Linked DNA regions of Oreochromis niloticus. The protein of the gene in region 1 purifies or fractionates together with the protein of each later gene. This does not show direct contact. Links are inferred from orthologs where the notes say so. Each region holds a gene or a part of one and is shown in the gene's direction. Other genes may lie near its edges.

The links.
Region 2: the proteins of zzz3 (region 1) and yeats2 purify together in Homo sapiens (affinity purification with mass spectrometry; 3 studies listed by BioGRID, with this or other methods). This does not show direct contact. The link is inferred for Oreochromis niloticus from reciprocal best matches to the Homo sapiens genes ZZZ3 and YEATS2.

The regions. Positions count from the first base shown.
Region 1 is NC_031982.2:25,358,298-25,374,689, forward strand, and holds the start of zzz3 (ZZ-type zinc finger-containing protein 3), read left to right. Parts: upstream 1-9,937; 5' UTR 9,938-10,075; intron 10,076-10,163; exon of another isoform or gene 10,164-10,536; intron 10,537-10,932; exon of another isoform or gene 10,933-11,191; intron 11,192-16,392. Other genes in the region: usp33 (ubiquitin carboxyl-terminal hydrolase 33), read left to right, coding at 721-799, 1,931-2,375, 2,484-2,624, 2,813-2,928, 3,200-3,372, 3,495-3,565, 3,663-3,696, 3,797-3,842 and 8 more.
Region 2 is NC_031982.2:14,303,312-14,320,067, reverse strand, and holds the start of yeats2 (YEATS domain-containing protein 2), read left to right. Parts: upstream 1-7,763; 5' UTR 7,764-7,981; intron 7,982-8,048; exon of another isoform or gene 8,049-8,068; intron 8,069-8,376; 5' UTR 8,377-8,382; coding exon 8,383-8,482; intron 8,483-8,603; coding exon 8,604-8,701; intron 8,702-8,830; coding exon 8,831-8,923; intron 8,924-9,893; coding exon 9,894-10,127; intron 10,128-10,207; coding exon 10,208-10,320; intron 10,321-12,280; coding exon 12,281-12,442; intron 12,443-13,757; coding exon 13,758-13,869; intron 13,870-15,621; coding exon 15,622-15,666; intron 15,667-15,752; coding exon 15,753-15,921; intron 15,922-16,142; coding exon 16,143-16,385; intron 16,386-16,756. UniProt on the Homo sapiens protein: Chromatin reader component of the ATAC complex, a complex with histone acetyltransferase activity on histones H3 and H4. YEATS2 specifically recognizes and binds histone H3 crotonylated at 'Lys-27' (H3K27cr).

The DNA.
Region 1 (16,392 bases):
TTAATTTATGGTCTCTTACAAATTTTGAGTTTTAATGAATACAAAATGTTATGTGTATTGTAAATTATTCTCCTCATTTAAGTCAAAATGGACAAAAAGGCTTGGAGCACTTTTAGACAGACCTAGCTTGTGATTGACAAGTCACTGTCATATCAGCATGCAGTGTCTCTAAACTTTAGGCTCAATTCTTTTTGGATTTTGGTATGACAGCATGCAGCCTGATGTTGATGATGATTGCTGACTGGTTGAAAAAAAATCACCTAATCAGGAAACACAGTAGAAATAATGGAACGAAACTACTGTGTTGGCTGTTAAAGACAGTTTGTTGTTTTTAGACTCATTTTCACTTCATTACAAAGAAATTCTTTGCTTAATATGACTTTGAGCAACAATGTTTCTTTTATCTATTTTCCCCTGGTGGCAGTACACTGCTACAACAGTCATATTCTGCAAAATTACTCATAGGACCAACACGAAGCCATTCAGTTGGATCCAGCCCTCTGTTGTTGTCACAGCTGAGATGGCGACGGCAAAAATGTTTCAAACTTCAAATACTTTGCAAAACAATGGATAAAATCATGCTGATTATGTCCATCTTTTATATACAGTCTATCACATGAGAGCAGTTTTGCTGTTTCTAATTTCACACTCAACACTACATGTGACCCCTACAAAAAAAAAGTACTTCTTTAAATCAGGCTGTGTTTTCTCACATTGCAGACCTTCCTATGTGGTCCCAACCAACTTGTTCCAGGGGATCAAAGCCATAAACCCCATGTTTAGAGGATACGCTCAGCAGGTGGGTCATCCCAGATGATGAAATGAATGTGCAATGTTTTCATTACTGCAAAAAACAAAACAAAAAACATGGGGACACTTGTCACACATTGAGCCTTTTTCTAGAGTCAAACAGCATATTGGAGTCTTTCATTTGTCATAAAGTCGACAGGTGATATGATGCAAGGACTGTGTTGTACGAAACAATAATATCTGTGTGAAATATGATGAAAGATGATTTGCTTTTATAATAATGTGATAGGCCTATTATTAATCTCTTTTTCTTTTTGATTATTTTATTGTTTTTGTGCTGAGCTGGGGTTATTATTAGTCTAACCCCAGATTATTAAGATGCCCCAGATCTTATATCTCTCTTATTTCCCTTTCCCTCCTTCCTTTACAGAAATCACATTTTTTCCAGCTCATAGCACTCACTCAGCTAAACTGAATCCTCTGCCTTTTCAGTCACTAACATTCACTTTCTCTCTCTCTCTCTCACACACACACTCTCACTAACACACACACACACACACACAGACACACACACAAAGCCACACATCTGGTCTAAAGGTAAATTGCTTGATTTGATTCCATTTGGCACTTGAAAGCAAAGTTTTGTGCATTACAGACATAAAGTTTTTTTCAGAGAAGTTAAATTGAAGCACTTTGTGTCTTTGGCTGGTGTCTGTAAATAAGGGATTTATAAGCCTGAATGGTGAATTGATAAAAGAGGCCTGTTTCCTCTTGGCTGGCCACTGTTTGTTCAGAGGTTTTAGCTGAAGAATATTCATTTGTCACGCCACGCTGGGCTGCACAGACTTGGATTAAACATCGCTCTGAATGAAGTTAACATTCCCCAGCTCCTGTGAGAGGAGAGTTCATTTGGCTTGAAGAGGGAGATTGGATGTCTGAGGTTCATTAACTTTGATTACACATTCATGAGCATTTGGTTTCAGATGTTGTGATCAGAATTGGGACAAACACGGAGGTGAAGTGGTTGTTTTATGTAATTTGGAAGATGTGCTTCACTTTGCCTGTCAAACTCAGTATTATATTGGAGGAATAAATGGTGAGTTTTCCACATGCTAAGGTAACCAAGACAGTAGAATAAATATCTTGCTCTGCTAATATTTTGTGTTTAACTCCACCGTAGGATTCCCAGGAGTTTCTGCGCTGCTTAATGGATCAGCTTCATGAAGAGCTGAAGGAGCAGCTACCCGAGCCCTGCGACCAGTCCCACGGCATCGCAATGGACGACAGTCCCGAGGAGGACAACCATAGCCAGTCGGACAACGACTTCCAGTCATGCGAGTCCTGCGGTAGCAGCGAGAGGGCCGAAAATGAAGTGCAGGGTGGGAATGCGTTGATAGATGACACCAACGAAGCAGAGATGCTGATTCCCGAGCAAGATGAGATTCAGGCCAATAGGGAGTGGCAGAAGGAGAAGAACATGATTAATGACCTGTATCGCTCCGGGACTAATGGCATTACGGGTGGAAGCACTGGAGTGGACATCGACAAAGATGTTGATACCACTACAGAGACCACGCCTATTATTAGCAGCCAGGGAGCCATCAAGGTTCAAGGCAGAGCGTCAGGTAAAAACATGAGATATAGTGGCTCATATTTCACGTGATGACATTATGATATTCACGGCTAAATTTATGACCTTAAGAGTCTCTAAACCTTGGTCTTTTCTCCTTCAGATTGCTTTCCAGATATCCAAATGTCAAACACCACAAGACCACAAAGTCCAGTCCCCATGGAGGGGCACATTCCCAAAATGTCCAGCAGTCCACCCAAAGCTGCCTCTGGCTGGCCCAGTTTGAACCCGGCACACAAGAAAGGTATTAAACTTTGTTTAGCGGCAGCGAGTTCATCTCCATTATGAGAGGCAGTCATACCCAGAATAAGAACTGTAAATATAAAGAGGTTAGCAAGGTAACAGTATCCCAAAACTATCCTTGCTGACTCTTGTGTGAGACATACTGTACTGTATTCTCAAATTTCTCTGCCTCTGTCTGCTTTCCCACAGCAGTGACCACATTCTCTCCGCCAAAGAACAAGCGCCAGAAGAAATATCGCAGCATCATCTCAGACGTGTTCGACGGAACCATTGTCAGCTCAGTACAGTGCCTCACCTGTGATCGGGTTAGTGCTTTTGGTTGTCTTTTTGTTAGATCCGATTGAAATGGTAATGAAAATGCTGAGATGTTGAGCAGCAACAGAGGTGTAGGTAGAAAAAATGCCATTCTGATGATGGGAGGAAAGATTATCTGTGATCACAGTGACATTTTTGCCTTAAGGATAATGCTGCAAAGTGACAGCTCCTGACAAATCCTTGTAAAAAAACAAAACAAAAAACACAAACAAACAAAAAAGCAAAAAAACACATTACGCTTCTACCTTCTGTGGCCGTCAGGTGTCTGTGACCCTGGAGAACTTCCAGGATATCTCGTTGCCCATTCCAGGGAAGGAAGACCTAGCCAAGCTCCACTCATCCACCCACCAAACCTCCCTGGTAAAAGCTGGCTCCTGTGGGGAAGCTTATGCACCACAGGGGTGGATAGCATTTGTCATGGAGTACATCAAGAGGTGTGTCTATAACCCATATGCTGTATTTTTTTTAAATTTATTTTTACATCAGGCAGCAGTCAGTAGCTGCTTTCTGTTTTTGTGTAAAATTCACCTCCTTCTGTGTTTGTTTCTCCTGTTAGTTGGTTCTGGGGTCCAGTGGTTACACTACAAGACTGCCTTGCAGCTTTCTTTGCCAGAGATGAGCTAAAGGGTAAGCGGGTGGGTGGAAAAATATGTTGTGCCAGTATAAACATCAAGAATGATGTCTCAATAATTGTTTGTTTTGTGTTTTTAATTTTTTCCCTTAGGAGATAACATGTACAGTTGTGAAAAATGCAAGAAGTGAGTAATTTATTGCACATTAACTAAAATGAGATCTAAATGGACTGCACCTGCAATGACTGCTCCTCTCATTGATCTTTTTTTCCCTCCACCCTCATAGATTACGAAATGGAGTCAAATTTTGTAAAATGCAAAGTTTGCCAGAGGTAAACTGACATTTCTAGATATTTATATGATGAAGAAATCCAAATATTTATCCAGATTTTCTTCAAATGCCAAGCTTCTGAAATGAGAAATGTTTTCATTCTCCTGCTTCAGATCCTGTGTATTCACTTGAAGCGCTTTAGACACGAACTGATGTTCTCCACCAAGATAAGCACCCATGTGTCATTCCCCCTCGAGGGCCTGGACTTGCAGCCTTTCTTGGCCAAAGACAGCTCCGCCCAGACCACCAGCTACGACCTGCTGTCAGTCATCTGTCATCACGGCACTGCCAGCAGTGAGTGGGCGCAGTCACTCCCTTTTCTGCATGAGACCAGGGCAGCTGCCACCATTTGGCACATACGAGTGTCCTGCATTCATTCCCCTGGAAATAAAATTCACACTTACTTGATAGATTTGTGAATGCTGCTCTAACACATCCCCCTGTCTTCTCCCAGATGGCCACTACATAGCCTATTGCAGGAATGATGTGAACAATCTGTGGTATGAATTTGACGACCAAAGTGTGACTGAGGTGTCTGAAGCCTGTGTCCAGAATGCTGAAGCTTACGTGCTCTTTTATAAGTAAGCCTAGCACACTGTACTTCTATAACTCCTACCTGAACAAATGTAACAACAAGCTCTCATTTATCTCTGTAGCATTTTAAAATTCACTACGCTGCTCAGCTATTAAAAATTGGATCGTACTTTTGCTTATTCATCTAAAATACTGATTAATATTTGATCTGTTTCTGTCCCAGAAAGAGCAATGAGGATGCAGTGAAAGAACGTAGGAGGGTGTCGGGCTTATTCAACATGATGGAGCCCAGCCTTCTGCAGTTCTACATCTCCCGCCAGTGGCTTAACAAGTTCAAGACGTTCGCCGAGCCAGGGCCCATTTCCAATGATGACTTCCTGTGTTTGCATGGAGGTGCGTATGAAAATGTCCGTTCTCCTGCTGAAGCCACTCGGAGGTCAAATTGTCCTTTTCCTCGCCCTGTGTCTGCTTTGTGCAAGACTTTTCGCTTTGACTTTGACACAGCTTTGGCTTTTGTTCTCGCTCTGGATTTCTGATTCTGACAAAGGCATTTCCAACTTCAGAAGAGGGGGGAGGGGTTTCTTCTCTTTGTGAAGATGATCCTTCATTCTGTTTTTAGCAGAGAAAGGAAAAAAGTCCTAAAAGGGTTCATGCGAATGGAAGTGACGTAACTGAAAAATAATTTGTGCAGAACAGAGAATGTGTTTACACACTGTAAATAAGCACCTACAGCTTTCTCCCTCCTGCTTGGTAGTCACCAGCACCTAAGCACATAATAACTGGCTAGTCAGGTACATAAGCATAGATAATATCAGTGCAGTGAAACCATGATTGCTTTGTGGCAGTGCAGCCAGTTGTTTTATTTTGTGTGCAAAGCCAAAAACATCACAGCTTATTTTCACTTTCCTGTTCAAGTGTGCCATGAAAAACACACTAAGCCTCCATCAAGAAGCTCTGGCTGCATGTTTTCCCATGAGGACTTTTTGAAATAAACAGCTGTAAAATGGTGCTGGTGCAGGCATTAAAAAAAACACACTAATTTTTCTTTGAATTGTTCATTGAAGTCAAAGTATCTTAGATTAAAGAAGTGAATTTAAAGAATTTAATTACCTGGTACACTGAGTAATTAAGATCATTTTAGATTTATTTAGGGTTCACACGTCACTTTTCATTATTTGGTTCATTATCTTATCTCGGCTTTCACGTTGCATCAAAATTTCAGTGCTTTTCTGCATGTTCACTTTTTTCCCCCCACATTCTTCAGTATCTGCAGGGTCCTACTGCAAGCCCTTGTTGTTTGCCTTTTAAGATTAGAGGTTCTTAATTAAATTTTGTCTATTATAAATCAATAAGACAAGGGCCAATGAAATATTCAAGAGGGTTGGGGGAGCAGCAGTGTAGATTTTCAGTCTAGGGGAAGCTGCTGCTCATATCTTTCTCACATGTCAAGATGAACTTAAGCTGACAAATGAATTCAAAGAGCTTTATTGCAGCGACATGGAAGGGTTGTTATTTCTTCCTACTCCCACTTCCTTCTTGATCTTGTTGTTTTAAAAGGACTTACTAAAAGTCAACAAACATTTAATTAACCCAGGTCAGCTTTGCTGTATAAATTATTTGTGTAACCTAGCTTAAAGGAGAAGGAAATGAGACCCTATAACCTTTAAGTGTAATAAATAATAAAGCTCCTTACAGGCTTATTCAGCCTATTTGGTTTTTAATAGTTGGATCAAAAGGGAGAGGTGATTTTACAAATCTGGAAATTTAGGAATGAGTTGCCACCGTATCCTGATTTTTAGACTCTTAAACTCAAAAACTCTTTTAGTCCCTAATTAATACAATAAATCAAAGCTCCATCTGGAGCTATAATTGACATTAAACAGTGGGTTTTCACAGGCTGTAATAAATACATCTGAAGTGTTTTTCAAGAAAAAGCCAAAAATTGGAGCGAAACAAACAACTTTGTGGAGATCTAAAAAAATCATCTTTTTCATAGTCTCGCACCCTGCGGGGAATTTAGACATGCAGTTTGGGAAGGAGTTTTAATAACAGGCTCTGGGGGTCTGAAAAAAGGAGAAACTGAAGAATATCTAATGATAGGGGTAGCACAGTTTGAGCAGCGAATTTGACAGAGTTGTGCATAGTTGAGCTTCTTGCCCTGTTTAGCTCACCACTGATCTGTAACCATGCGAGCTGTTGCATTTCATGTAAAATAAAATGTTACACTGCGAGCGTCTGACTGCTGTTTCATTGCGTTTCATCAGGTGTGCCGCCCAACAAAGCCACATTCATCGATGACCTGGTAGTGATGCTGCCACAGAACGTGTGGGATCACCTTTACAGCAGGTACACGCAGTCGACACGGCCGCTTTCAGACTGGCTGGAGGCTTTAAGCATCTTCAGATCCAGCGATTCCTTTGGCTGAAGTAACGTGTGAGCTTGTATGTACTGTTTCCCGCAGGTACGGAGGGGGACCGGCTGTCAACCACCTGTATGTCTGCCACACGTGCCAGACTGAGATAGAAAAGCTGGAGAAAAGGCGTAAGCAAGAGCTGGACATGTTTGTCAGGGTAAGCACCCACCCACTCCTCACCTCACCTGAAAAGCCGTCCAAGCAGCGGCTTTATTTAGATAGTTAAAAATTGGTTTGTGTGTGTGTGTGTGTGTGTGTTTTAATACATGGTGTGTCAGTGCAGCCAGGACTCACAGGTGTGTATAGGCCCCTTTTCTTCAGTCTATTTAGCCAGTTGATAGGCTGCATGTGTTGATGCTGTTCGCCCCGGCAGGAGATGAGAGGTGCAAGCCGGATGAAAGCCTTATCATTAATGCATTGGGACAGATGCAGCTGTTATTGCCTGCTCGGTGTGCCCACTCACACAATAGCTGCTCAGAAGAGAGATAACTGTGTGTGTGTAAGACTGAGCTAAAAAGGAAGAACAAGGAATGTGTCATTTTTTTTCTTTTTCCAAGAGAGACAGAACTGGTGCAGTGTGGTTTTAAGATTGTCTTCTAATTGGAGTAACTAGCAGAGAGAATTGATTTGGTTTTCCATTTCCTCTCAATCCTTTCATCCTTACTTTTTTCCTTTTTTGTCCCCTATCCCATCCCACTTACCCCTCCTCTTTCCCCTCCCCACCCCTTTGCGTCCTCCCTCTTGTCTCTACCTCTCACTCCACCCCCACTTCCTCTCTTCCTCTCTCCGGGTCCTTCTGCTCCCTCTGTAGCTGAACAAGGCGTTCCAGGAGGAGGAGTCTCCAGTGGTCATATACTGCATCAGCATGCAGTGGTTTCGTGAGTGGGAGGGCTTTGTCAAAGGAAAAGACAATGGTAATTGGACAGAGGTCTTGCCTTTCCATTCCCCCACCCCACCCCCTAGTCCTGTTTAAATGTCTGATTAAAAAGGTTAAATGTTTTCCATGCGATTTATCATGGAGAGACCGAGTTTCTGGAACAAACTGCCAGTCTATACATTTTCATCGACGTATGGGGGGGAAAAAAGGCAAATAGATTTTTTTTCTTTTTTTTCCCTATAGAAAATCAAAATTCTCAGGTTATTACAAACAGCTCATTTTCAAAAGAAACTGTGGAGTCCCTGTTCCTTCTTTTGATTTTTCTTCAAAGAATTCGCTTTAGTCCCCCGAGTCGGGTTTCTATCCTGCTCCAGCAAAATGAAGCGTCAAAATGCATTTCATTGGTGTTCCACTTGTCCTCATATTTTTTTCTTTTTGCTTCCCCTACTTTGTATTGTCACATCTATTTATAACAGCTTGCATCTGGCACGCCTGTAAATTGTCTTTTTTTTTTTTCTTTCTCTTGACTTCTGCTCCTCTAATATTTGTCTTCTCTCTGTAGCGAATGGGGAGCAGATATTGCTTTTTTGTAGTGTGACAAAAGCATTTGACATTTTAACATCATTGCTCTTTGATACAGTTAGGATATGAGAATATAACTCGGTTACTGATGTATGTAATTTCACAACTAATTTTCTTTTCTTCGTCTTTTTCAAGACCCACCGGGACCTATCGACAATTCAAAGATAACAGTAAACAAGAACGGCCATTTAACACTCAAACAAGGTACAAGCAAGGTTTTTAAGTTGTAATTCTGTTTCTTCTGCTTTAGTAGGAAATGTATGTCTGAATATTTTATTATGGATTTTTAAAAAGCATCAAACAAGTCTTGCAGAGATGCTGTGGACTGTAGAGCTGTTTTTCCCGTTGCTGACGTTTACGATGTATACGTTTGTGATTGCACCGACCCTACAGGAGCAGATTCAGGACAGATCTCTGAGGAAACGTGGAACTTCCTCCACTCCATCTACGGCGGTGGTCCGCTGCTGACGGTTCGACCGAACATCAGCCACCAGGAAGTAGAGTCGTCGCAATCAGAGGAGAAGATCGAGGTGGAGACTCGCTCCGTTTAATCAAGCACTTGACAATACACCACAACAACATCGAAAACGTTTAAGAAATGGAAAGCCTTTTATTTTGCACTTGACTTTTTGTTTCAAAAGCATCCAAGCAAAGGACCTCATCTTTACTCCTGCGTGACAGCCTTTGACAGAGGGAATGAACTGAAAAGGGTCGTCATGTTGTACAAATCTGTATAAAAAGCTCTTAAATTTCTATTAGCACTGTAGTACTCATGTTTCAGGTTTTCAGAACCAAGCATTTAAAATATGTGCAGCTAAAAGAAATTCCACTGAATGCCATATTGGTTTTTTTTCTTTGACCAAATGAGCACATGTTCTATGTCCATGTGTCTTGTGTTGCCGATACTGATGAATCACAATACATCTTGCTGTAGATATATCACATATTTTTTATTTCCTGTTGTATTATTCACTAAATGACAAGGAAAGCAAAATGTGACACTTGGGCTATGAAGGGACTAATTGCTGACTAGTCTCAGGAATGAATTTTGTGTTTTGCACTGTTCTGTAGAAGTACAAATTGGCATGCTCACACAGATGTCTGGTTTGTATTTGAATGTACCAGTACTAATAGTATGTTGGTCAAGACTCAGCACTTGGTTATTTATAACAGAAGGGAGTGATTTAACATGATGTCAATAGATTATTATTATCGTTTTTTTTTTTTTTTTTTTTTGAAACGTGGCAGGCAGACTTTTTAAGAATGCATGCTCCGAACATTAAAATCCTAGTTGAACATCACATGTAAGTGCATGTAAATGCAAAGCTGCTCATGATATGTGCACGCAAATCCAGATCTGTCTTCACTAAAACTGTACAGCTGCAGAAAGCACATTGTAGTAATGTAATCAGCATCATAATGAGCAATCTGATTCATTAAAGGCATTATTTTTGTGTATGGGCATAGTGTTGCTTAAATGTGTTGGCTGATTAGGGAGTCAACAAAATGCTGTACTCAAAGTTTTTGCATATGAGTAAGATCTATTCTGATTTTTGCTGGCTGACACTATTAAAACTTGATGAAAACATGTTGAATGCTGTGCCCTTCCTTAATTGTGTCACTCTTAAACTGCATGTTGTTTCTCCTTAAAGTGTCAATAAGCCATAAATTAGGAAATGTTGCAGAGTGAGAGTGAGAGGCACTCTAAAAATGTACAGGATAGTGTTGCATTTTGACGAGAGAGCGCTTGCTGCTCACACACCCCGACTAGTTGACTGGATTGAAAACATGGCTGCGGCCGAGCGTGCAGCAAATTTACGGAAGTGAGGTATGTCTAATTCTTAAGCTACAAAAGCTGTTTAGAAGTGTGCGTCCAGTTCGTTGCTTGTGGTGGAGCAAACGACAGAAACTGAATTTATTAGCCCACTCAAAATGTGTGTGACCGCCATTGCTGGCAGTACACAAATACATCGGCAAAGTTATGCGCGGAACAATCAGCTAGCTCGGCAAGCTAATGCCAGGTTGCTGCGGCTAGCCTCGGCTGCTAGCTGGTTACCAAGTGCTTGGTTGCTAATCATGCTACTTCTCAGTGCTGGACATATAAACCTCGGCGAAAACGTGTTAGCGGCGATTTCTTCCATCTACGTGCTGTCTTATTTGTGGCTTTAACGCCCCTGACTGATGTCGCGCTAGCTAGCATGTGCTAGGTGTCAGTAATAGAGGGGCTTCATCAGGAATCGCCACGATTCTTCTCTTAACGGGAAAACTAGCCGAGGAGAACTAGCACAGGTAACGTTAGCTAACTTGGCTAACTAGTCGAGCACAACAGAAAGAGGGGAAAAATGTTCGGTTAGACTGCAGCACACTTGTCCGTTGAGTGTCACAGGGAGCGTGTATAATAATTTAGAATTTAATTCTGCTGGTGCCACAGTCTGCGGCTTGGTGTCTCAAGTGTTAATATATATATATATATTTTAATTAAACCCCGAGAGCTAACGGTAAGTTAGTTTTGTATGGTTAGCCCGCTAAACGGCATGCTAGGTCAACTAAGGTCTGCTTGGAAGTTGGAGCATGCTAACGTTTAGCTCATTCGCAAGCTCCCCGTGAAATAACTGGGTTGTTTCTGTCCAGACGTGTGGTCGTGAGTTTTAATCGTGAACTTTTTTTTTTTGCTGCAAAAACTAGTGTTCAACTCAGCCGGCTGGCACGTGCTGCTGCTGTTGCTGCGCCGCCGTCCAGTCTCGTCAGTTTAAACAGCATCCTCGTGCCTCCCAACTTCGTGGGCTTGGAGCTCGCGGCAGTTGATTTAGCTGGGATGTAGGGATTTGAGCGATTCTCATCGGAATGTGCACCAGCACCACTTCGCGGATGTTTGGTTGCCAGTAGGCCCAGTGGAAGTGCTGAACTTCAGGTCGGCAGCGGAGATGATGAGCCCAGCAGGACGGTAAAACGGCACAGAGCTCGTTTATTTATCGGAAAACACATGCATCATACCAAACTCTGTTACCCACATTTAGATTAGCTGGTTTCCTAACAGTTGACTTTTCTTGTGAGTTGCGTGTTTATTATTAGTGCACAGTTTTGGGAGTTTACAGGCTTGCTATCTTAGTGAAAGCAGTGCTTCTTTATGTGATGGCAAATGAGACATCTGTCACGACAGTGCAGGCAAAAAAACACCACGTGTTAACATAACTCTACAACCAAACAAGCGCTTTAGAGAGGGGCAGGAAGTGGGTTGATTTGAGAGTACAGTAACACATGGGTCCTTTAATTACATACAATGTCTTTCACACTCAAAATCTTTGCTTATGCTCTGGATATCTGCGAGTACAAGTTGGTCTTGGTGTGTCAAGATCGGTGACTGTACATTGCAATGTGGTGTTAGTACTGTAAAGAACACTGTCACACCTTAATGTGGTAAATTGGCAGCTGTGGGTTTAATGGTTGGTGTGTTTCTAGAAAGATCAAGAGATTAATAAATCTTATTTCATGGAGAAGAGTACATCACAGTTAAATGTTTATATAGGAAGCAAACATGAATCCCAAGCATGTATCCTTGGCTGAGTCTACTCTCTCATATACTAGAAGGAGAAAATGCAAATTAACCAAAACAGTGTCTTCTTGTGACTCTTAGTCTGATATAATGGTTGTAGTGCTGGTATGACTTATGAGCAGTTTGGTGATAAACCACTCTGACTAATGTATCATCTTTTTTTTGGGGGGGGGGTTAGACGGTATAAAAGCTCCAAGCATCCTATAAAAGAAAAGTAAACAACATCAGAATCCAGCTTAACAGCACATCAGAGTTTGCTTTTCCTAACTTAGACAATCAGGCTAAGAAGTCACATAAAATTGGTTATTAACTTGATCAGTCTACTCGAGGTTTCCCAGTCTAGCCGTGTGTGTTCACATGAAAGAGGCAGCAGCGTCTGACCAGCCACAAACATGGACAGGTCTGCTGTCAGCACAGGGAGTGATTTTTATATTAATAAAGTCTAGCCTAATTGAAGCATGGAAGGTAAGTTGGAAAAATAGTAACTGTGTAAGTTAATAGGGACATCAGCATTGCGGCTCTTTCATCAACACATGTGAAATTCTAACAGATTACTTCCATTAAATTCTTATTTAGACATGCAGGAAAGGAAAGTTAAGGAAAGCAGGAAAGTTATAGCCGCCTCTGTGGTGTTTAACTGTTAAAGAGCAAAATAAAATACAAAATAAATATAATAACATAAATTCAATGTACGCCCCTCCTTCCCAGATTTTTTTTTTTTTTAAGGTTAATAAGTACAAGTTGGTGTTCTATATCAGGATCATATAATTAAGGCTTATAGAGCAATAGAATCATTTAACAGTTGCAGCAAGGAGGAAAAAAGCATGACTAAAGCTGATTCTGGTAACTCATATTTCTTATTGATTCTTATCAGGGCTCTTGAAAAACTTAAGACCCTCGGACTATCTTTACCCTGTGGTCTCAGGTTTCTTCCATGAATGGTGATCCTATTTTCTGTAGAATCTATTTGTCAGTATGTGGTGATTTTACACACGCTCATCCGTAATCTCCAACAAAACCTGCTTCCAAGCAGGTTTGGTCTGCAGCAAAGTTAACACGGTGATGTACCCTGGGGAACGACAGACATTTTAAGCTTTAATATGTTTACATATGGCTGAGTAGCCTAATTTATAAAGTATTGCAGAATTTATAGATTTCCGTTTTGGTTCAGTAGGTGCTAACAAAACCTCTAAAATAAATGTTAGGAGCTATAGGCTGCACCACGGAAGCAAACACTGCCCGTTTGCTTCTTGGGGTGTGTGTAGAAGCTGCAGCACCACCATAATTTACACCTGTGTTATAATTACTGTTTTCATCAACCTTTTTACTAAGAAAAGAAGCACTTTTTGGAATGAACCTTATATAATTTTAACCTTGAAATGCATTTTAGCTTGTGCGCAATTCTATTTTTAGTTGAAAATGTGTGAATGTTCAGTCTGCTTCCCTGTCGTAGCCGCCTTCAGTGTTTTCCTGTGGCACTAACAAGCTCTGCATTCTTTTAATAGCTTCATATGCTTCCTTTAATATTAAACTTTTATATCAGTGACTCCCAATTAGTTTGCCTTGAGGCAAATCCAGGTGTGCCTTGGGATTTTATGTCAACTATATTGTAACTGCATGGTGCTTTTCACACTAAAAAGCAATTATCTAAAACATAGGTGTCTTGTAGTTGCAGATGCTGAAAAAGTGTTATCTGGAGTGCTGTCATCTGACAGTATTCAACTTAAAAGACAACTGGAGAAAGTAGAGATGGCATGAAGGCTTGCCTTTTGGTGTGACTTGGTCATAAAATGTTTGAAAGCCACTGTTTTAGACTACAAGGTGGAAATACTGACATTAAGAAAAAAAGATGGACAATCGAATGTTTGCTTCATCCATTTTGCTGTGATGGAAGCACTCAAATGGACCAGCAGCTGACTAATCAGCTATATTTACTGGCCCCAGGCCATAGAGCCATTGGTTATGTTGAACCCTGCAACATAAACAATCTGTGAATTTCTGTCTCCTTTAAATCTCTTTATATTTGCTAGGTTTGTAATTACTGGTCTAAACTGTTTTTATATTTTTAGAGAAAGAGTTTCTGGATAGGCTGCAGGCTGTGTTTTCTTATGGAGCAGCACATACCTGGAGTACTATACCCACAGAACTGAGGAACATACTTTTATAAATTAGTGTTTCCCAAATAATCAAAAATGCTGTCATAATATGAAGTGGTGTCATTGTAACGGTGACACCGCCTCTGGTTCAGTAGTCATGTTCGTGTTCTTTTGTGTCTGTGCTGTTTTGTAAATGGTCTTTAATGTTTTTTTAATATGTTATATGGTAACATCTTTTATAATTCAAATAATTGTTGCTCTTTTCTGTTTATTTTTATTTGCTCTCTCTAAATGCAGTTATCCTGCTTGGTACTGCAGATGAAAATGAAACAAGCCGTCTAAATGTGTCTCATTTGCTCACGTTAATGTCCCTTTTAAATAAAATAAACAAACCTTAACTTGCACAGTGTTTATACTTTAGGAAATCACTGTTGTGGCGAGTAGTTTAATGCCTGCTAACTACAGGCTCCAAGGCCAAGGAGAGTCATGTCATTGAAGGTGTTTAATCAGAATCAGAGAGACTTTATTTATCCCCAAATCCTGTAGTTAATATTTGCAACTCCAGAACGCCTTCGTCTTTACCTACTCTGTAACAGTCTGGATGTGAAAATATGCAAACCACGTTATTTTATGACATTCCAGTCAGTCCAGTCCAGTGCACTTCTGTCAGGCATGTCTGACTGTGGTTTGAACCTGATGTTGGGCAGGGTAGTCAGATTTACAATGTAATGACGACTTTAATTTAATAACTGTGAAATCTGGTACCTGAATGCAACATTGGGCTTAATCTTAACTATTAAGATAGGCCTTGCGAGTTAAGCCAGGAACGTGTTAATTATTAGGAACGTGGAAGTGTGATCAAATGTTTTATAAAGTTATTCAGCCCAGCTGTAGCACTAATTATTTTTGATGTAGTGATTAGCTTTCCTAGTTTTTGGGAGCAGGTCAGATGAGCTGGCTTAATTAGTTTTGTCGTGTTGAGTCAAAGGGTGAGTGCTCTGTCTGAAAAAACCTGCTCCTCCTGCTCCCCGTTTTCTGCTTTTCTTTCTTTTATTTTATGCATGGACAAATCACATTAGTTTTCTCAGCTGGGCTCTTTAGCAGAGTGTGAGTAATATGTGCATGTGGTAGTGTTCGTTTCAGGTGACTATTGTTAGCTCCCTGAAGGAGTATTATCAAAATGTATTTGTAGCCGGAGTAGCCTGTGTGACTTTGATGGTGCTGTGTTAGCACAGTGTGGGAAAAGGGAGGGACTGTCCGAGTGGGAGACAAGGAGCTTTTAAATCAGTTTTGACAGAGGTCAGCTCACAGTTTGATGTACTGGGAATTAATGTAAATGAGCACCTCGTCCATGGCGCTAATTGATGCGATTTGTCTTGTCCCTAATATATGGCTACTACTGTTTCTCATCATCTATAAAAGGACATCCAGTGAGATCATCCGTTGCTGAATGTCACTTTAATATGACCTCTAGCATGTTGTGTTTTTATTGTCCTTGTGGGTAGATTTATTAGTTGGACCATGATGTAGAGGATGTGTCAGCAGCAAGTTTACTGGGGACTAATTGTCTTCTAACTGGAGCAGGAACGTTACAATCTCCCTTTCATTAGCTGCATCTTTCTGTGGGCAAAGATAACTTGATTATTAATACTTTGTACTTAGAGTAAGGTATTTCTGTATTTTTTTTTTTTTTTTTTGTTCAAATTTGTTGATTGTGGAGTTAATTGACTTATTTTGTTTTAATAACTTTGTAAGACAACATAATCTAGTGTAAACTGTTATTGTAATTACAATTTGAATGCTCCTTCGTTGTTGTTGTTTTTAATGCTTCCATGACTTTTGTTATATATATATGAGAGAGAAATTGTATTAATTTGTTTCCATGATCTTAATGCAATATGCTGCATAAAAAAAAAAAAAATAATAATAATGCTGAGAGAAACAAGAACTAGTTGTCTATATGTGTGCATTTATTAGAGATGCAGTGATCCAGTTTTTTGTATTGCTGATTCAATAGTCATACTTTGGCTTTGGGTCTCTGCTGATATCAATGTTAAATTAAAACGATGTTCTGCTTGAGGAAGAGGCTGGGAATCATTCTTTATGTTTAATATAACATCAGGCTCGACTCAACCATTATTTTCCTAACTTACTAATAGTGGCACGAGTTTCTCCTTTTCCCTCCTCATGTTGCAATCACCTGTGGAAAAAATAGTGGTTGGAGACTACAGCATGACTAAAATTATTGCAACTGTGGGCAATGAACTTCTGATCTTGCTGCCGTGGAATTGGTTGCTTCAAAGATGATGATGACATCTGCAACCACTCACAGTTGATTGCAGTCTTCAAAGCAACTTTACTAAATCAAAATGATGATAAAAGAGCAACAAGATGGATTTGGTCTGCTATAAGTTTGCGAATGAATTGGGTCAAGTTGGCATTTATGTGAAATCTGTTTGAGACAATACAACAATTCACTATGATAAATTGGTGAAA
Region 2 (16,756 bases), about 11 Mb from region 1:
TAATTTTGTTTCTCTAGGCTTGACATTTCTCTTACTTTTAATTTTGGCCCCTCATCTGATCCTCGTACATTTGTGTGTCTGTCCTCAGGTTTATGCTGTGGGTGGTTATGATGGACAGAGCCGCCTGAGCAGTGTGGAGTGTTATGACTCCTTCTCTAACCGCTGGACAGAAGTGGCTCCCATGAAAGAAGCAGTCAGCTCTCCAGCTGTGGCCAGCTGTGCTGGAAAGCTCTTTGTCATTGGAGGAGGGCCTGACGATGAAACTTGTTCAGACAAGGTGATAAACTGTTTTTCAGCACCCACACACTCAAGCACATAGTGATGGCAGCTAAGCTGCTCTCAGTGTCAAATAACTTGTTTTCATAATTACAGGTGTGCAATGGAAGTTCAAAATCCTGTTTTGTTTTGCTTTTTTTCAAGCTCCTTTACGTCACACAACATAAAACATAATATATGTACAGGCCTCATAGTTCTCGGTCACTGCATGATTTATATAAAGTTCAGATTTTCCCCTTTTTCCTGAATTGAGTTAAAGAGAAGGCTTAAGTAGCAATCATTTCTTACCAAGCATTTTAGCTTTCATAAAGTTGGAGTACAAAATCTGTTAAACACTCACTGATGGTTTTACGTAGGTAACAAGTACGTCCTGTTTAGTCAGGTTGGTCCTGATTTATCTTGTTTCAGTTTGTTAATTGTATCCAGGCTATTATTTCGATGGAATGCTGTAATTGTACAGTATTTCAGGTTTTATTTCATAGCATTTACTCATAGGAGTAAAACTACAGCAGCTTAACATGCTGACATATTCAGAAATGTTACAGTAAGGAGAAAAATACAGTAGCACATGATGACTGACCATTTGTTAGGTAATAATAGCGATAACTTACTTAAGGATTAGGTCATTTGTCATCTGTCACGCTACTATGTGAAACAGATAGCCTCAGAGTTTGGATTTAACAAGTACCTTGGAATCGTTTCAGTATGTTTTGAATGACAGGCCACATTGTTGGTAGTAAACAGGAAGACACTGGCTTTCTTAGGAATCTAAAGTTCCAACGAAGCAGTTTTTTTTACGTACGTGAAATAGCTGGCATATTTGTTTATGTCTATGCAGAGTAGAAAAAACACATTGATGGGCAGAGGGGCAGCCTGATAAGACTAAGAGCCGATGCTGACTCCAGATTTTTGATCTACTCATCTCTTGGGTCTGCTAACAGGGTCATTTAGATCGGTCCCAAAGGTCCTAATCTGTCTCAGCGAGACCCTGTGCACAATGAGAGTCGTTAGAGACCAAACTTTTTGGGGTGAGGCTATTTTAAAGATAAGTGGGTGAGAGAATGTTTGGATTGTATGCAAAACCACACAGAGACATACTTAATGTCAACCCACAGAAGAGTCAGTAACCACCGAATGGGCTTTACATATTTTAGTTGTTACTGCTTTTACAGCTGTTTTCCCAACACCTGGTATAGATTTTTTTTTTTAAGATAAAGAAAGATAAAGTTGAACCTTTCATCATTGTAAAACACCACTATGTTTAAACTTATGTCACAGGTTCAGTGCTATGATCCAGAGACAGACTCCTGGTTGCTGCGTGCCAGCATCCCCATTGCCAAGCGTTGTATCTCAGCAGTATCTCTCAACAATCTGATCTATGTGTGCGGCGGTCTCACAAAGTCAATTTACTGCTACGACCCTGCAGAGGACTACTGGATGCATGTGGCTCAGACCTTCAACAAACAGGTTACTATCAAACACAGACGCTGAGTGCCCGAATCCACAAACTGGCTTTAGCCATAAGAATATGAAAAGTTCTACACTTTGACGATGCACCCTTTAATTTCTGTCTTTCTTTAACTGCAGGAGAGCTGTGGCATGTCAGTGTGTAACGGAAAAATCTACATCCTCGGTGGCAGGGGGGAAAACGGCGAAGCCACAGACACCGTCCTGTGTTACGACCCAGCAACAGGCATCATGACGGGAGCATCCTCTATGCCTCGAGCCATCTCCTACCACGGCTGCGTAACCATCCATCGTTACAATGACAAATACTTCAAGTCGTGACCATGAACAGAGTCGCACACACAGACACTCTCTCAACATGAGAGCAAACACTAAAGAACTCTTCAAGTACTCATACACATACACAGCACACAAAAACTAACCACACCCCGTTTTTTTGTTTTTTGTTTTTTTAATAAGAGGCACATTTAATAGTTCAAACCACAGTGTCAGTGAGCTAATTTATTTCCTCACAGCATCATGTAGCAAGACTCGTTGTGGTGCTGTGAATCTTTTGTTGTCTTAATAGCCTTTCTGTGGAAATGCTCAGAAGCTGATAACACTAATGGCTTTTCTGCAACCAGAGATAAAGTGGAACCAGATCAGCATGAGAGATGTGCTTTTGTATTGGTAGTTTGAGGAAAATCAGTCTTAAATCTAGAGATCAGATTAAACTACAAGCTCATTTACTCACCTTTTCACATAGTGTTCTATGAATAGATTGACACGTGTTAAAATATTTAATTTTGAGGTGAGCTCAAAAAGTCATTAAGTGAAAACAAAGGGTGGTACTCCCAATTACATTATTGAGTTTTTGCCAGCACTCATTTGTCATACTCACAAACCATCAATATTAAAAAAATGTAACTTCCCAGCACTCTGCTTTCATTGCTGTGCAAAGTATAACCTCAAGATTTAGGTCACTGATGATTAATGAGAGTTCTGATGAGCAAAAAACAACACTAAAAATATCTGGCGAGAGCCAACAGTTGTCTCTGGAGAAACAAAAATATATCCAAAAATACTGATCTGAGTGACCAGGTCGGATTACTCACCTCGTCCTCCCTGCACTCACGCAGTTTGTCTCATACAGTAAAGTTATGCCAAGCTCTGGTAAAGAACATAATAATGAACTGTGCTCTGTTTTTTTTTTTTACCTCTTCTCCAATACTGAAAATGACTTGATAGAAATGTGGTAAGCAGTCAGCCAGCTGCTCTCCCACAGTATCATCTGTCATAAATACGGAGCTCTTTCACCCCTCAACCCAGAGCCGAGTTAAGAGAAGAGGTAAAGAGCAGAAGCTGTGAAAACATTGGACTCTAGCCACTGTTGGCTCTTCCCTTGTGTTTCCTTTTTTTTCCCATGTCATCACCACTCACCATTAAGTTCCACTTCCCATATGTGTGTTTCTCTTCCTGCGCTCCACCTGTGTCATCACCTCACTTTTTACAGTCAGCCTTGCTAATGCCTTCTAAGCTGTATATTTTGCTCCTTTTTAATTATTATTATTTCACTCATTATTGCCTTTTTTTGGTAAGTTATATTTATCCGTGCCTATTTTTTTATAATTGGATGTTTATTGTATGATAAGTAGTTAGGTCGACGTTAATCCATCGGTGTACTGGGCTTGTGGGGTGGTTTTGTGGATGTGAAGCCTTTTGTGGATCAAACTTGTAGACTGCTCTGAATAAATGGTGTGCATGTCTGGTGTGTGTGTGTGTGTCTGTGTGTGTGTGTGTGTGTGTGTGTGTCTGTGTGTGTGTAAGGATATTGTGTGACTTTTACTGCTTGGTCTGGATGCTTTGGGAGCCACGCAGGTTTATCACAGAGTTGTCGTGCAATGCTGCCACATCTCACCTGTACACTTACATGTAAAGATGTAACTCGGGGTAACCATAGATACCTCCAGGTGTGTATGCGTGTATGTGTGTTGAATGGTCAGCTAAGGTGGCGGGTGCGGCAGTGCTGGCCCTCACACCGTTGGCGGGTTTAAGAGTTGAATGATGAGGATTTTGGATGGTGTGGCTCTTGGTCAGTAAAAGTCACCTTTTAATACAATTGGTGTTGATAGATTGCTGTGAATATACAGTTAACTTTGTTTTCTTTAACTTGTATTTAAATGTATCTTTGTATCCTTATTTGCATAATATGTTCTCTTGAGAGCCCCAATTGTGCACTTTGACAGAATCCTGTTAAATGTAGAACTTTATGACAATGATTTCCTTTTTTACTGTATCAGTAAATGTTCTTTGCTTTCATGTGACGTATAGAAAAGAGAGTGAAAAGGGCCTGTCAGCTCCTCCTGTTGGCCACTGCCTCCTACGCTTTGATGCGCTGAAAAAACCAGCAAATATTGCTGCAAAGGAGGCAGTGTCGTCATAACAGTTTCAGTTTTCAAATTTTAGGGATTTTTGAATTTGTCACTCAGCACCATTACGTAATATCCTTTAAGAACAGCTCAGGTCATACTTCACCTGTCAGGTATGATAACAAAAATATGTAGGGGGAAGTTGTTGGTTTTTTTACATAAACATTCTTCACATTCCTCCAAATGGAGGTCAGGTTAAGGAGCAGTACAGGTGGAAAAATGAAGCACCTCCTGATTCACCTGCTTGCAGAAGTCAGGAGGAGCGACGGGTTGAGTTGGGGGGCAGGAAAGCGGAAAGGCAGAAGCATGGGAGTGAGAAAGTGAGAATCTGAGTGTGTGTGCGTCTGTGATTTCACTGAGTATTTACTCTTAAGTAGGGCACAAACTCATGTTGTGCTGATTTATTGATTTTCATTAATGTCTTTCATGTATTATTGACTTCTGATAAGAATATCCATCGTTTTGTTTTTTTGTGTGTGTACTGTTTTGTTTTGTTTTTAAATCTTTTGCTTGTTGTGGTGAGTTGTGGGATCGCGTGTTGCTGAGAACATAAAAAGGACGTGCAGCAGATTACACCCAAAAAACCTGAGGGTTACAAGTTGCTCACCAGAGTTAAATATTAACACAGATAAGAGCCACATTTGAGACAATCCTGAAGTCAGTCTTGTTGGAAAAGCACCACCTGTGCCTTGCCTTGATGTCAAGAGATGTAACCCCTTAAGTGCTGCCCTATGTGCCTTAACCAGAGATTAACGAGTGAGCAATTACATCAGATAATTGTGATATACACTGCTATTATTGTGTGCATGATGTGTGATACTTTTACAACACTTTTCTTGTGCTCTTTGTTTTTTAAAAAAAAGCTTTCAATTTTTGTAAAATGCAGTATGTTGAATTGTAATGGTTGAGTTGTTTATGAGAAACGTCAATAAAGTTTTTCTTAATGTATCAAAGCTTTGCTGTGACTCATCATTGTTAACAAATGAAAGTCTACAAGAAAACAGTGATGCACCTGTTCAGATGCTCATTAATGCAAATTCCTGCTGTGATAGCCTCAGTGTCTCGCTCTTAGCTGACAGGAGTGTCACCTGGTGCGGTCTTCTGCTGCTGTAGCCCATCTACTTCCAGATAGGGCGTGTTGTGCATTCAGAGATGCTCTTCTGCAGCCTGTGATTGTTAACAGGTGATGATTTGAGTTATTGTTGCCTTCCCGTCATCTTCAAGGTTTATGGCCATTGTCCTCTGACATCGACGAGGCCTTTTTGCTCAGAGAGCTGCCGCTCACTGGATATTTTCTGTTTTTTGGACCTTTCTCTGTAAACACCAGAGATGACTGTGTGGGGAAATCTCAGTAGATCAGCGGTTTCTGAAATACTTATTCCTTTCTTGAACTTCAGCAGCTCATTCATGGCAAAACGCATTGAATTGCTGCCATGTTAGGCTGATTAGATATTTGCATTAGGTAATGAGCAGCTGAACAGGTGTAACTGACAAAGTGGCCACTAAGTAAATTGTCAAACATGTTCATTACATTGAGGATCGTCTTCATGCCAGCAGTGGAGGTAACTCCTCCAAGAGAAGATATCCTGATTTTTATGTTCCCTTCTCAAACAAAATATAAAGTTTTCACTCAGTTTTACAGAAATCAGAAGGCTGAGATGAAAAGCGATTCTTGTGGTCAGTGTGACGCATGCGATAAATGTGCCCCGAGAAGTTGTGCTTTTTCTCAATCAAGCGATCGTGAGCACATCCGTTTTCACAACAGACCAGCCATAAAACGAATGGAAACAAAGTGATTTATGTATTTCATCGAAACCACAACTATTGTCCCACAAATATCCATGAAGATGTCACAAAAGAAGAGATGCGCCATTTGGGTTTTGTTGCAAGTTGTAGCAATCTGCTCCACAGAGCTGTGGACACTGTATTCACCAAGGGATGAGTCAATCACGCTGGTGATGTTTTAATGAGTCATTGTGCTGAACAAGGGGACAGTGTTTAAAAGCAGCCGCACTTTTTAAAGTAGGATTGAGCAACCCATGCTTTATTATCAGGCCCTTTTTATTTAAGTCTCATGTGATTTATATTCTCCATATTATGCTTTGGTTTAATGAAAACCACAAAGAATCCTCTCACAGATTCTTACCATCTCGCTACATTTACACCAAACATTATGGGAAAAATTGAAGCCATGCCTTACCCATACATCTGTGTTCTGATTTATGCAAAGAGCTCATCAGGGACATGCATTCTCAGACAGGATAATGCTATACAGTACATTAATCAGCTGTGATTATAAGATTTTTGGCACTGACAGCATGCTGTCACCTCAGTTATCCAGCTGAGTGCCAGCTACTATAAATTACTGAGGATGCCAACTCTGTGGTACAGCTGCAGGCCTGATCTGGTTTGAGTAAAATGCTAGGTTCTTGGCCCTGGCAGGAAAGGGCCAGAGGTTGGAGTAGTGCTGCAGCTCTCAGCCCACCTGCTCACCCACTGAGCTAAAGAGACATCCATATTAATTAAAACTTGACTGGAAAATACTGCAACTAGAGGCACATTTACACACTCACATGTGCACATCTCCAGGTCTCTCTTGGAAATGAGATTTTTAATCTCAAGTGAGATTTTGACCTGGATCAATAAAGGACTAATAATAATTTTAAAAAAAAGTCCAGGTCTCCAAAAATCCCCATTTCAAAATACATGAAAAGCTGAAAGGAGTGTTTTGTTGTTTTGATTAATGTACTTAGAATATGTAAATTGATCAACTGATGGCGGTTAAATCATGAGGTTAAAGTATCAGTATCGAATTTCATGTTGGTATCGACAATACTGGCGCTGTATTTACTTCGGATCCACAGGAAATTTAACAGGATGTTGTTTGATCTTCTTCTCTGCTTCATTAAAAGGAAATGTGAACGTGATAGGACAATTCATTGCAAGAGAGCAGCAAAGTAATGTGTAACACTGAAAAGGTGCCCATAGGTGTAGAAGTTATAGAAAAGGTTTGTTTGGAGTGGCTTTCTAGCAACACCTGTTTTCTGTTTAATTGCCTTTAGAATCACATGTTTACTGTGTAACTGATGTCTGATGAAGTGTGAAGCTCCGCTTAAGCTAAATAAGATGAACTGATCCCCTTCTTGTCTGGTGTTGTTTGCCTTCTAATTCGTGGCATGCAGCCTGTCAGCGGTTACAAGCTTAAACATGTTAGACTAATAGTAACCTATGATAGTTAGAATATCGCATGCTCATACACGGGGTTACTCAACTCTGTAATGTAATGTAATACCTCCAAAGAGTTCCACTGAATCAGACACAAAAAAAACTTCCTGCAGTGATAACACTGGAGTAAAATCCCCGTAAAGTTCTTTAGAATAGACCATGATGGCTGGTTGTAATGAAGTTTGACAGGTATGCATGCCATCTTCACCGCTGTTTATGAATATCTTGTCAGAGTAGTTAGTTTACTAAGGGCTTGTAAGACGGGTTACGCTGTTGATCACGACAATAAAACATCCTTTCCAGGGAAGCAATCTTCTGAAAGGTGACAATACCTATCATTCCACGCCTCGTTTTCAATCAACTTGGTAGAACAGCGGTCCCTTGTGGCTGTTTGGCTAAACTGCAAGGCTAACTATCCACTATTTAGTTAGCTTACTTGTAGAGCTCGAGATTTAGCAATTCCCTAAACACGAGTGTGGTCTGAGTATACTAAAAACGCAACGGATATGCTCACGTTGAATTAAAAAAACACACGCCTTTCAAAGAAACGTTGCTCCACATCACAGAGTACTCCTGAAAATTTGCATTTTGTACAGCCTGAACCGGTATGTATGTACAACTGTGTGCTAACGTTAGCTAAATTAGCAAGGTTAGCGGTTGCTAACGTCAGAGAACTGTTGGCTGTATGGACGGTATGTGTATATTTATTTATCATATCGGTGGTGAGACACACTAAAATGCGATGTGCATTCTTGTTAAATGAATCTTAGACAATTGGTCGACAGTTTGAAATAGCTTGGTAGGTAGTGGACAGCCTGCTAACTCATGTTGGCATACCTGTTTGGCTAATCAGTACTGAGGTTAGCTGTGGGCATTGCTGTCAATTATCTATAGCTTCCCTGCTATGCAGCTAATTCTGTGCTAAGTGCATAGCAAATCATGTACATCACAGCATATAAGTGATTAGCTACACGTTTTCTAATTATAGCCTTCTTTACAGGAAGCCATGTCGGGAATTAAAAGGAAGATAGAGGGCAATGATCCCGACTATGAGGACGTTTCTCTGGTCCAAAACAGTAAGAGAAACAAGGCGGCTGAACATAGTGGTAAGTTCATGCTCTGAACCCTGAGCCAGTACACTTGCTTTGCTTGTTGTGGTCAAAATTAGCTATCAGTTGTGCCCTGGTCTTGTAGATATGTTCATTCCCTCTTCCCTATTTTATCCAGCTCGAGAAGCAACAGTTCAGAAGATTGAAACCATCATCAAGGAGCAATTTTCTTTGGAGATGAAGAACAAAGAGCATGAGATAGATGTGATAAGTCAGGTATTCAGATGATACTTTCTTTTAAATCTGTATTTTACTTGTTACTGCATAAAAACTTAACATGGACAATAACTTGGAGTTAAGTGTAATATTCAGCATGCCGGCTCACTGTTTTTCTTTGCTTTGCAGCGTCTTAATGAAGCCAGGAGGATGATGGACAAGCTCAGGGCATGCATAGTAGCTAATTACTATGCCAGTGCTGGACTGACAAAGCTCTCAGAGGTAAATTCCCATTCATTTGGACACAGAGTTTGATGATACAGCCTCAAAATTATATGATGATATTTGAAGAAAATTTGCAAGAAAAATATTTCTGACAGCGCAGGAAAAAATATACCAAACAACATTTTATTGATGTTTGCAGGTTGCAGCATTTATAGGTGTAGTGAGTTAAAGGTATTTTGTATTATGCTATTCTAATGAGCTGCAGTCATTGTTGGCAATCTTAGTAATTTAAAGTATTTATCTTGTGAAACAGGTTGCCGGCATCAGCATTGTAGTGCAATAGTAGCGGTACACAGCAAGTCAAATGTACACACAACAGTAGCCCTAGCTATTGTTTCCCCTGGGAAGTAAAAAATATAAAATAACACTTTAACTGAACAGTTGTTAAACTAACTTAACTATGTAAATCTTAATATTCTTTTCCACCTGGGATGTTGTTTCTTATGTAGAGCTTTTTCACCAGTTGCTTAAATCACTGTGTTTGTACTGATGCATCCACATTTTTATCTAATCCCCCCCTGTTTGCTTTTCCTGTCATCTGGAGTGCATCTAGCGTGTGAATCAGTGATGCTTGGTGGAGTCTTTTGTTGACATTTAGGTTGCACATCAGCAGCTCTTAGTATCTCCTCCTGTGTAGCCTGGTTGTACTTTATGGTGTTTATTTGCTTCAAGTGGTGAAACACATTTGTAGCTTCCACCTTCAGCTGGAACAGTTTCCTTGCATGTTTTGAAAAATATTGTCCTTTTGTTCAAGGTTGTTGAAATAGATCCCTTTTTAGGTACTAAATTGGCTCCTTAACAGGAACATATCCCGACTGGTCTCATTGTGCCATGCACTATGGATCATAAACAAATGGCATAAAACTTTATAGTGGTGTTATTGCAGACAGTAATAGCCAGCTGTCTGCTGCTCTATGTGGTAGTACAGTATAGAAACACTGACCTAAATTTCTTCTATGTTCCATAGCATACCTCCAAGAGCGACCCTGCTGTGCTGAACCATCCGGCCATCCGACGCTTCCTGGAGTCTCCTTCCCGTTCTTCTTCCCCTCTCAACCAGGGCTCCGAGACTCCATCGTTGGTCCAATCAGAGTCTGAGTCTCTCTCACAGCAAGGAGACGGTGCTGAGAGGAATGGAGAAGGAGCCTGGAGAGAGGAGAGCAGCAGGCAGGAGCGCAGACCCGGACGCAACACAGGCAAAGTAAGTTCAGCTGGCAGAAATTGTGGGTTTTTTGACCTTTTGATGATCGGTGACTAAAAGCGTTGCCTTTGTTGCTGTAGGACACATTCGGTGTGCCGTCGTCTGCAGAGCAGAGAGTGACCTACCACACTACTGGAGACGATGCATCTAGACTTTATGCGAAGAAGACAATCGTAGTGGGAAATGTATCCAAGTACGTAACCAAATTAAAAAATGTCTGTCATTTCTTTGTGACTGATTCAGTAAAAGAACTAGATCTTACAATCCCTGATAATGCATTGGTTCAAATGGAGAAAGTCTTGAGGGATGGCTGTTACGAGGAAAGGCAGCCCAGAAATTTTACCAGCTAGACACATTGTTGTGTGCCTCAACTTTACAGGGTGTTTCGGTCTTTTACCCAGGCTAATCTGCCATTTTTCCTTCCTTGGTTAGGTTTAGGGATTAGAGATCTGATCTAGATTATCATATTAAAAATTTGGGACACATCGTCAGTAGTGGACCTTGGATTCATCGGGTGTTTCGGCCATTATCACTAGACACCCTCATCCAAGGAGGCCCTGCCAGGGTTGATCAGGCCCTGGCTTATGTTAAATTGTTATTTCTCTTTTATGTTATTTCTTTGGTGACTAATTACATTGTAACAGACTTTTCAGATTAGAGGTCAGAATCTTCTTAGTAACTGTAAAAGGTTTAAATTAACAACTACAAGACAAAAAGTTTGAATCTCACAGCATTAAAGTTAATCTTTTCATCAAGCTCAAAATTTAGAATTTAACTTTTTAGAAGTAGAGAACAAGTGAAAAGAAAGTGTTGTTTGAAATAGATACTCTTTACGTAGGTACGGAGTAGCCTGGTGTTTTGTCTTAGTATTTCAGAAAGACACTGAAATTTTGAGAATAAATTACATGTAAAAATTTTTAATAAGAAAGTCACTTAAGCTTTGGGCAGGTATTATAGAAAAGGCTGCCCGCCTGCATTCACTATTTTTTTTCATTTTTAATCAGTCTTGGAGGAAAACACTAAATGCGATGGACTTGCATTTAGCCTACTGCATGTCTCTTATTTTGAAAGTTCAGTTGTCATTCATATATCACTCAGATATAATACAAATCGACCATCTTGAACCGCAGCTGGTTTAGGGTTCATGTGCAGGATCAGAAACTAAGTAGAAAGAGAGCTGATTTTATTCATTATCGGCTCAACATTAGAAGAACTGCAGCAGTCGGGGTTGGTTTTTCTTATTTTATTCAGTCAGCTGAATTTGTCTCATGCATGATTGTGCGCTGAAGAGATGAGCCACAAATCAGTTTTCCTACAAGTGTGGTCTTGAAGAAGATTGAGAATAAATTTTACCTAATTTATTTTCCCCCTGGGCGCACAGTTTTCTGTTCCTCAAGACCGTACAGGTAAAACTACACTCAGTTAATAATGCGTTGGGATCCCACCTGCCATGATACTCATGAGCACGTTGACCCCAGACCCCATATAAATAGGATACTCACTTTTTAATTGTACTTTATTACGTAACGTTTTAGCGCTTATGGGTCAGACCACACCTGTTGTGTAACCTGGCCTTCATTTTTGTGTTAGCCACACGCCTGTAGAGTTTCGTGACTGCATTTTGTAAAGTAATGAGGCTTTTGTTTTGACAACTGGGCGCCTACCATTCGTCAAAGGTGGGTTTTTTTTGTTCCAGTATGGCACACACGGACTCAAGCTGAAAAGGGTGCCAGCGATACTCATCATTAATGAAGCAAATATTAAGTAGAGAAAACTTTATTGAGATACTTATTCAGCACACTTAATATTGTAGTACATGTTTATTAATCAGAAAGCATTTGATCAGATGAGATTTTAAGTTCCTCCAGGCTTCCAACCGGTGTATGATTTAAGACAGAAACTTTTTTATGACAGAAAATTATTAAAGCGGTGTTGAAATTAGTCATGTAGCACCTCCTTGTCTGTCTCCCCTTTCCAAATATTTTGTAAAAATTTAAAGAAAAAAAAAAACACCTCTTCATTTTCAGTCTCACTTTACCTCCCTACTCTTCATCTTGGGTGGTGTTTAACTCTTCTGTAAACCATCTATGCATTACCTCAATCCAATGTTTTCACTACCTCTGAGGTTTTTCTTCTTTGTTTATTATTCTCAGGTACATTCCACCTGATAAGCGGGAAGAGAATGACCAGTCTACTCATAAGTGGATGGTGTATGTCAGAGGCTCAAGGAGAGAACCTAGCATCAACCACTTTGTCAAGAAAGTTTGGTTTTTTCTGCATCCCAGCTACAAACCCAACGACCTCGTGGAAGTCAGGTTTGGGCCAGTTTTAGTGAAATGTGTATTGAAGTGTTTTTAAGCAGTCATGCAGTTTCATGTAGTGATGTTGCAGAATAAAATAAGTTAGAAAGAATTTAATTAAAGAGAAGAAGAAGGAAGACAAAAAGAAACTTAAAAGATAATAAAAGATTTGTTCTTGCAGTGTTTCGTAGCTCTTAGATAGAATATTTACTTCTAACTTTGTATTGTCGTGATAAGTAAGTCCTTTAATCCACCTTTTTCCAAGCAACACTTGCCAAAACTGCAAGAATTATACAAACAATATTACATAATAATTCACTTTTCACTGTCAGCTCGGTGAAAATCCTTTAGATCAACTTTTACCAAACACTGCCCCCTTGTGCAGGTTTGGTGATGCAGCGCATTCATCCCCTATCAGTCTCATCGCTTTGTAGAAAATCAATATTTGTCTTACCAAGCAGTAATCACTTCAGCAAAATCTTACAGCTTGTTAGTTTTTAGGAAAATTAAAAGATGACAAATTTGTTATTCAGATTGTACACACATCATTAGGCAACGTCATTTGCTGCACAGCGAGTCAGCCTAGAACTCAACGTCAACAGGACTAATAGCAGGCACACCTAAGTGGTACAGACTTGCCCTAGCCTGAAGCAGATAGGTGTATAGATGAGCGTCACACACTTAATTTAGAAATCATTCACAAGCAACAGAGGTTAGGTAACCTTGAAATATGTACTTAAAATGTCTAATTGTTGGCATTACCCTCTAAAAATGGCTCAGGATTTAAGGTTGCCTGCAGCTTCTGAATAAATGATCTCTCTCATCAGTCAGCAGTCCTTATCCTGAGCTGTAGCCTCCCAGCTGTTTGAGCTGACAAAGTGCTCACGTTGCTGTTGCAGCAGCTCACAAGCTCCCCCCACGTAACCCAAACCTTCACTCCCAGTGAGCCCTACGCTGATGCTCTCTGCTGACTCCCAGCACAGCCTGACTGTAGATGAAGGGATGAAGTGAAGTGGAAAAAAAACACTTGCTTCACTTATAGGTTGCGCTTCAATATACACATGATACGCAGGCACATACACATAGCCTTGCAGTCAGATCAATGTCTGTTATGTTGGGATGAGAATGTCAAGCTTCAAAGGCGGAGAACATGTGAGTTTTTCAAGTCATTGATTTTTAGGAGATTCTTAACTCAGTACAGGCTAGAAAACAGATTTTTTTTAAACAAAGGCATAGTGATGCATCTTTAATACATATATTTTTTTCATCCTGACTTATATTTGAATTTTAACAGTGTTGCATAAGGCAGTTCAAATGTGTCTGTTCTCAGTGAGCCTCCCTTTCATTTAACGCGTCGCGGTTGGGGTGAGTTTCCTGTGAGGATCCAGATTCACTTTAAAGACCCTCGCAACAAACGTATTGACATCATCCACCAGCTAAAGGTCAGAATACTTTATAGAGCACATCATCATTCACTTTGCTTTTCTCGTTAGATGAGGCCTCTTTGTTTTCCCATATGCCAGTTATCAGAGCCTATTGTAGACAAGCCAGTGGGTCTGTGATATACTCTGAGACTTTTCTGACTTCTACTGCTGGTAAATTTCACATATGTGTAAAGTGTACAGGATTTAGGCAGGAAACTTAAAAGGATTACATATGTTCACATCAGTATTTTATTTTTTGACAAATACACAATATTTGCAGATTTTGCTTCTGGACACCACCACAGTGGATTTAAATTCAAACAGTCAGTGTGTGATTGAAGTGCAGACTGTCAGCTTTAACTCAAGGGGATTTCCAAAGATATTGCATTAGCAGTTTAAGAATTACAGTCATTTTTATCCACAGTCCCTCAGAAAGAGGAAGACTCTGAAAGAACTGCACAACTGACTGACAAGCAGTTTTATGACCTGTCCCCTTATTTTGTTAATGAAAAAGGGAGCAGATATAATATCTGAAGTTGATTTAAAGTGTTGAAATTGTATTTTATAGCTTTTCAGTGAGGGAGCCTATCATCAGGCTGGAAAAACAAAAGAAAACAACAATAAAACAAACCGATTAGAAAGATGGCAAAAATCCCAAAATCTATCATTTAAAGGTGGTGAACTGATTTGCATGATACATCATTATTACATGATAACAATATCACATAAGAAAGTAAATAAAACTCTTGAAGAGGTAGATGTATCATTTTCAACATCTAAAATCAAGACATGCATGTAGGGTTTACAACAAGCTGTAAACCACTGGTTATACTCAGGGACAAGAAGTCCAGACTAGACTCCGCTAGAAAAAAATTCAAAGAGCCTGCACTGTTCTGTAAACAATTCTGTGGATGAAATGAAAAATATGGAGAAGGAGAGCAACAACTCATGATCTGAAGCATACCAAATTACCTGCTGATAGAAGTAACAGGTTGAATTCTGTGTACAGGGCTATGCTCTCTGCTCACATTCAGACAAATACTGCAGAACTCATCAGACAGCATTTTGACAAAATGCTGTCTGATGAGACCCAAAAGAGCAAGCAGCACAAGTTTCTCAAGGCAAAGAAAATTTTTTACTTTTAATGGCCAAGTTGGTCACTTGATCTCAACCCAACAGAGCATAATTTACAGTTATTAAATGCAAAACTGAAGGCAGAGAGACCCACAAACAAGCAGCAGCTGAAGGTGTCTGCAGTAAAGGCCTTGTACTTCCTAAACAGTTCATGCAAGTCTTTTGATAAACCCCTTGAATACATGAATTAAAACGTTAAAATGAATTTGCTGGGGGTCAACGGATTTTATTTGCTGAGCAACTACCAATTTTATTAAATATTTTTTCATCTTACTAACCGAGTGCTTCAGCAAGCTTTCTCCTTTTATGGCTTGCTTTTTTTGCCCCACTGAAAAGCACCTGTCTAGTATCTTTTTTTCAGTCTGCATTACAATCATATATATTTTGTTTGAAAAAAATAGTCTTTGTTCAAAAAATCATGGACCTAACTGTGCGGACCTTTTTAAACTAAAGAACTTTAATTGCTTTTAGAAATGTATAGTGATATAGTCCAGTTTGATTTCAGAGTAATTGGATGTTGACATTTAAAAAAAAAAAAAAGTAATCATAATATATTGCACTAAAATGTGTTTATACAGTTCAGTAACTTTGCTGCATAAGTTTGCTGTCTTTACCCTTTCTTCTGTTTTCCTTCAGCTCGACCGAACATACACTGGACTACAGACGCTCGGGGCAGAAACAGTGAGTTAGAAATGTTCACTTTGTTTCCTGCAATGACTTTTTTCCCTTCAGAGCTTCACTCTGACGTTGCTTTATATTTGTTCCAGGTGGTTGATGTGGAGCTCCACAGGGATTCTCTTGGGGAAGACTACATCCCTCAGCCTTCTTCCTCCAAGGTGACTCACAGAGCAGCCAGCCCCACTTTGACTACCTCTCTGGCCCAGACTTATGGACGCTCTAGTTCGCCTGTCTCACATGACTCCAGTGTAGACAAAGGTACAACAGCAGATTATTTTTGCACATTTAAAATAATAGGGATCAAGTACCTGAGGGTGTTTATATACTGGACTGCTTAACAGAAAAGTAGGATTGTTTATTTTCTCTCCTTAAACCAGAACCAACCAGTTTTCAGTGGTTTCTTGGCCTTAAAATCATTTTATGTCAGCTTATTATCAAAACCAGATGACGTTCAATAAAACATGTTGTTCCACCTGCAGTTTTCATAAAGACAGAGACGGGGAGGCCTGCAGGTGTTCATAGCGCAGGCCTTGCTGCCGGTGAACGCACTCCAACACGGCCCAAAGCCGGTGACAGAGTCACCCTGGGTTCCCATGGCAACTCTGCCTTCCAGCCTATCACAGCAAGCTGTAAGATTGTTCCCCAAGGACAACCACCCAGTCCTGCTGAGTCTCCTGGGAAATCATTCCAACCAATCACAATGAGCTGTAAAATAGTTTCAGGTACGTGTCTCCACCCACTGTCCTTGTAAAATTGTCATTTTGTTTCTAAAGAATCCAATTCATCATAAATAAGATGGTCTAAGTTTACTCAGTAAAGATGCCCTATGATTATAACTTCTTTATTTCAGGTTTTGTTGAGGTGAAATCTGTAAATCACTAAGAAGTGTTGACAGCAAACGCCTCACTGACATTGAAGTTTGATGACATTATTTTTCCATTTGCTTGTAATTGCAACATATTGTTTCCTGGCACTGACACTGATTCTCAGCTTAGTGAAGTTGGTATGAATACAGTCATTGTTAGGAAGATGCAGTACTGCTCAGTAGGGGTTGACAAAAGCTTCTTTTGTTTTCCCACAGGCGCATATTTGT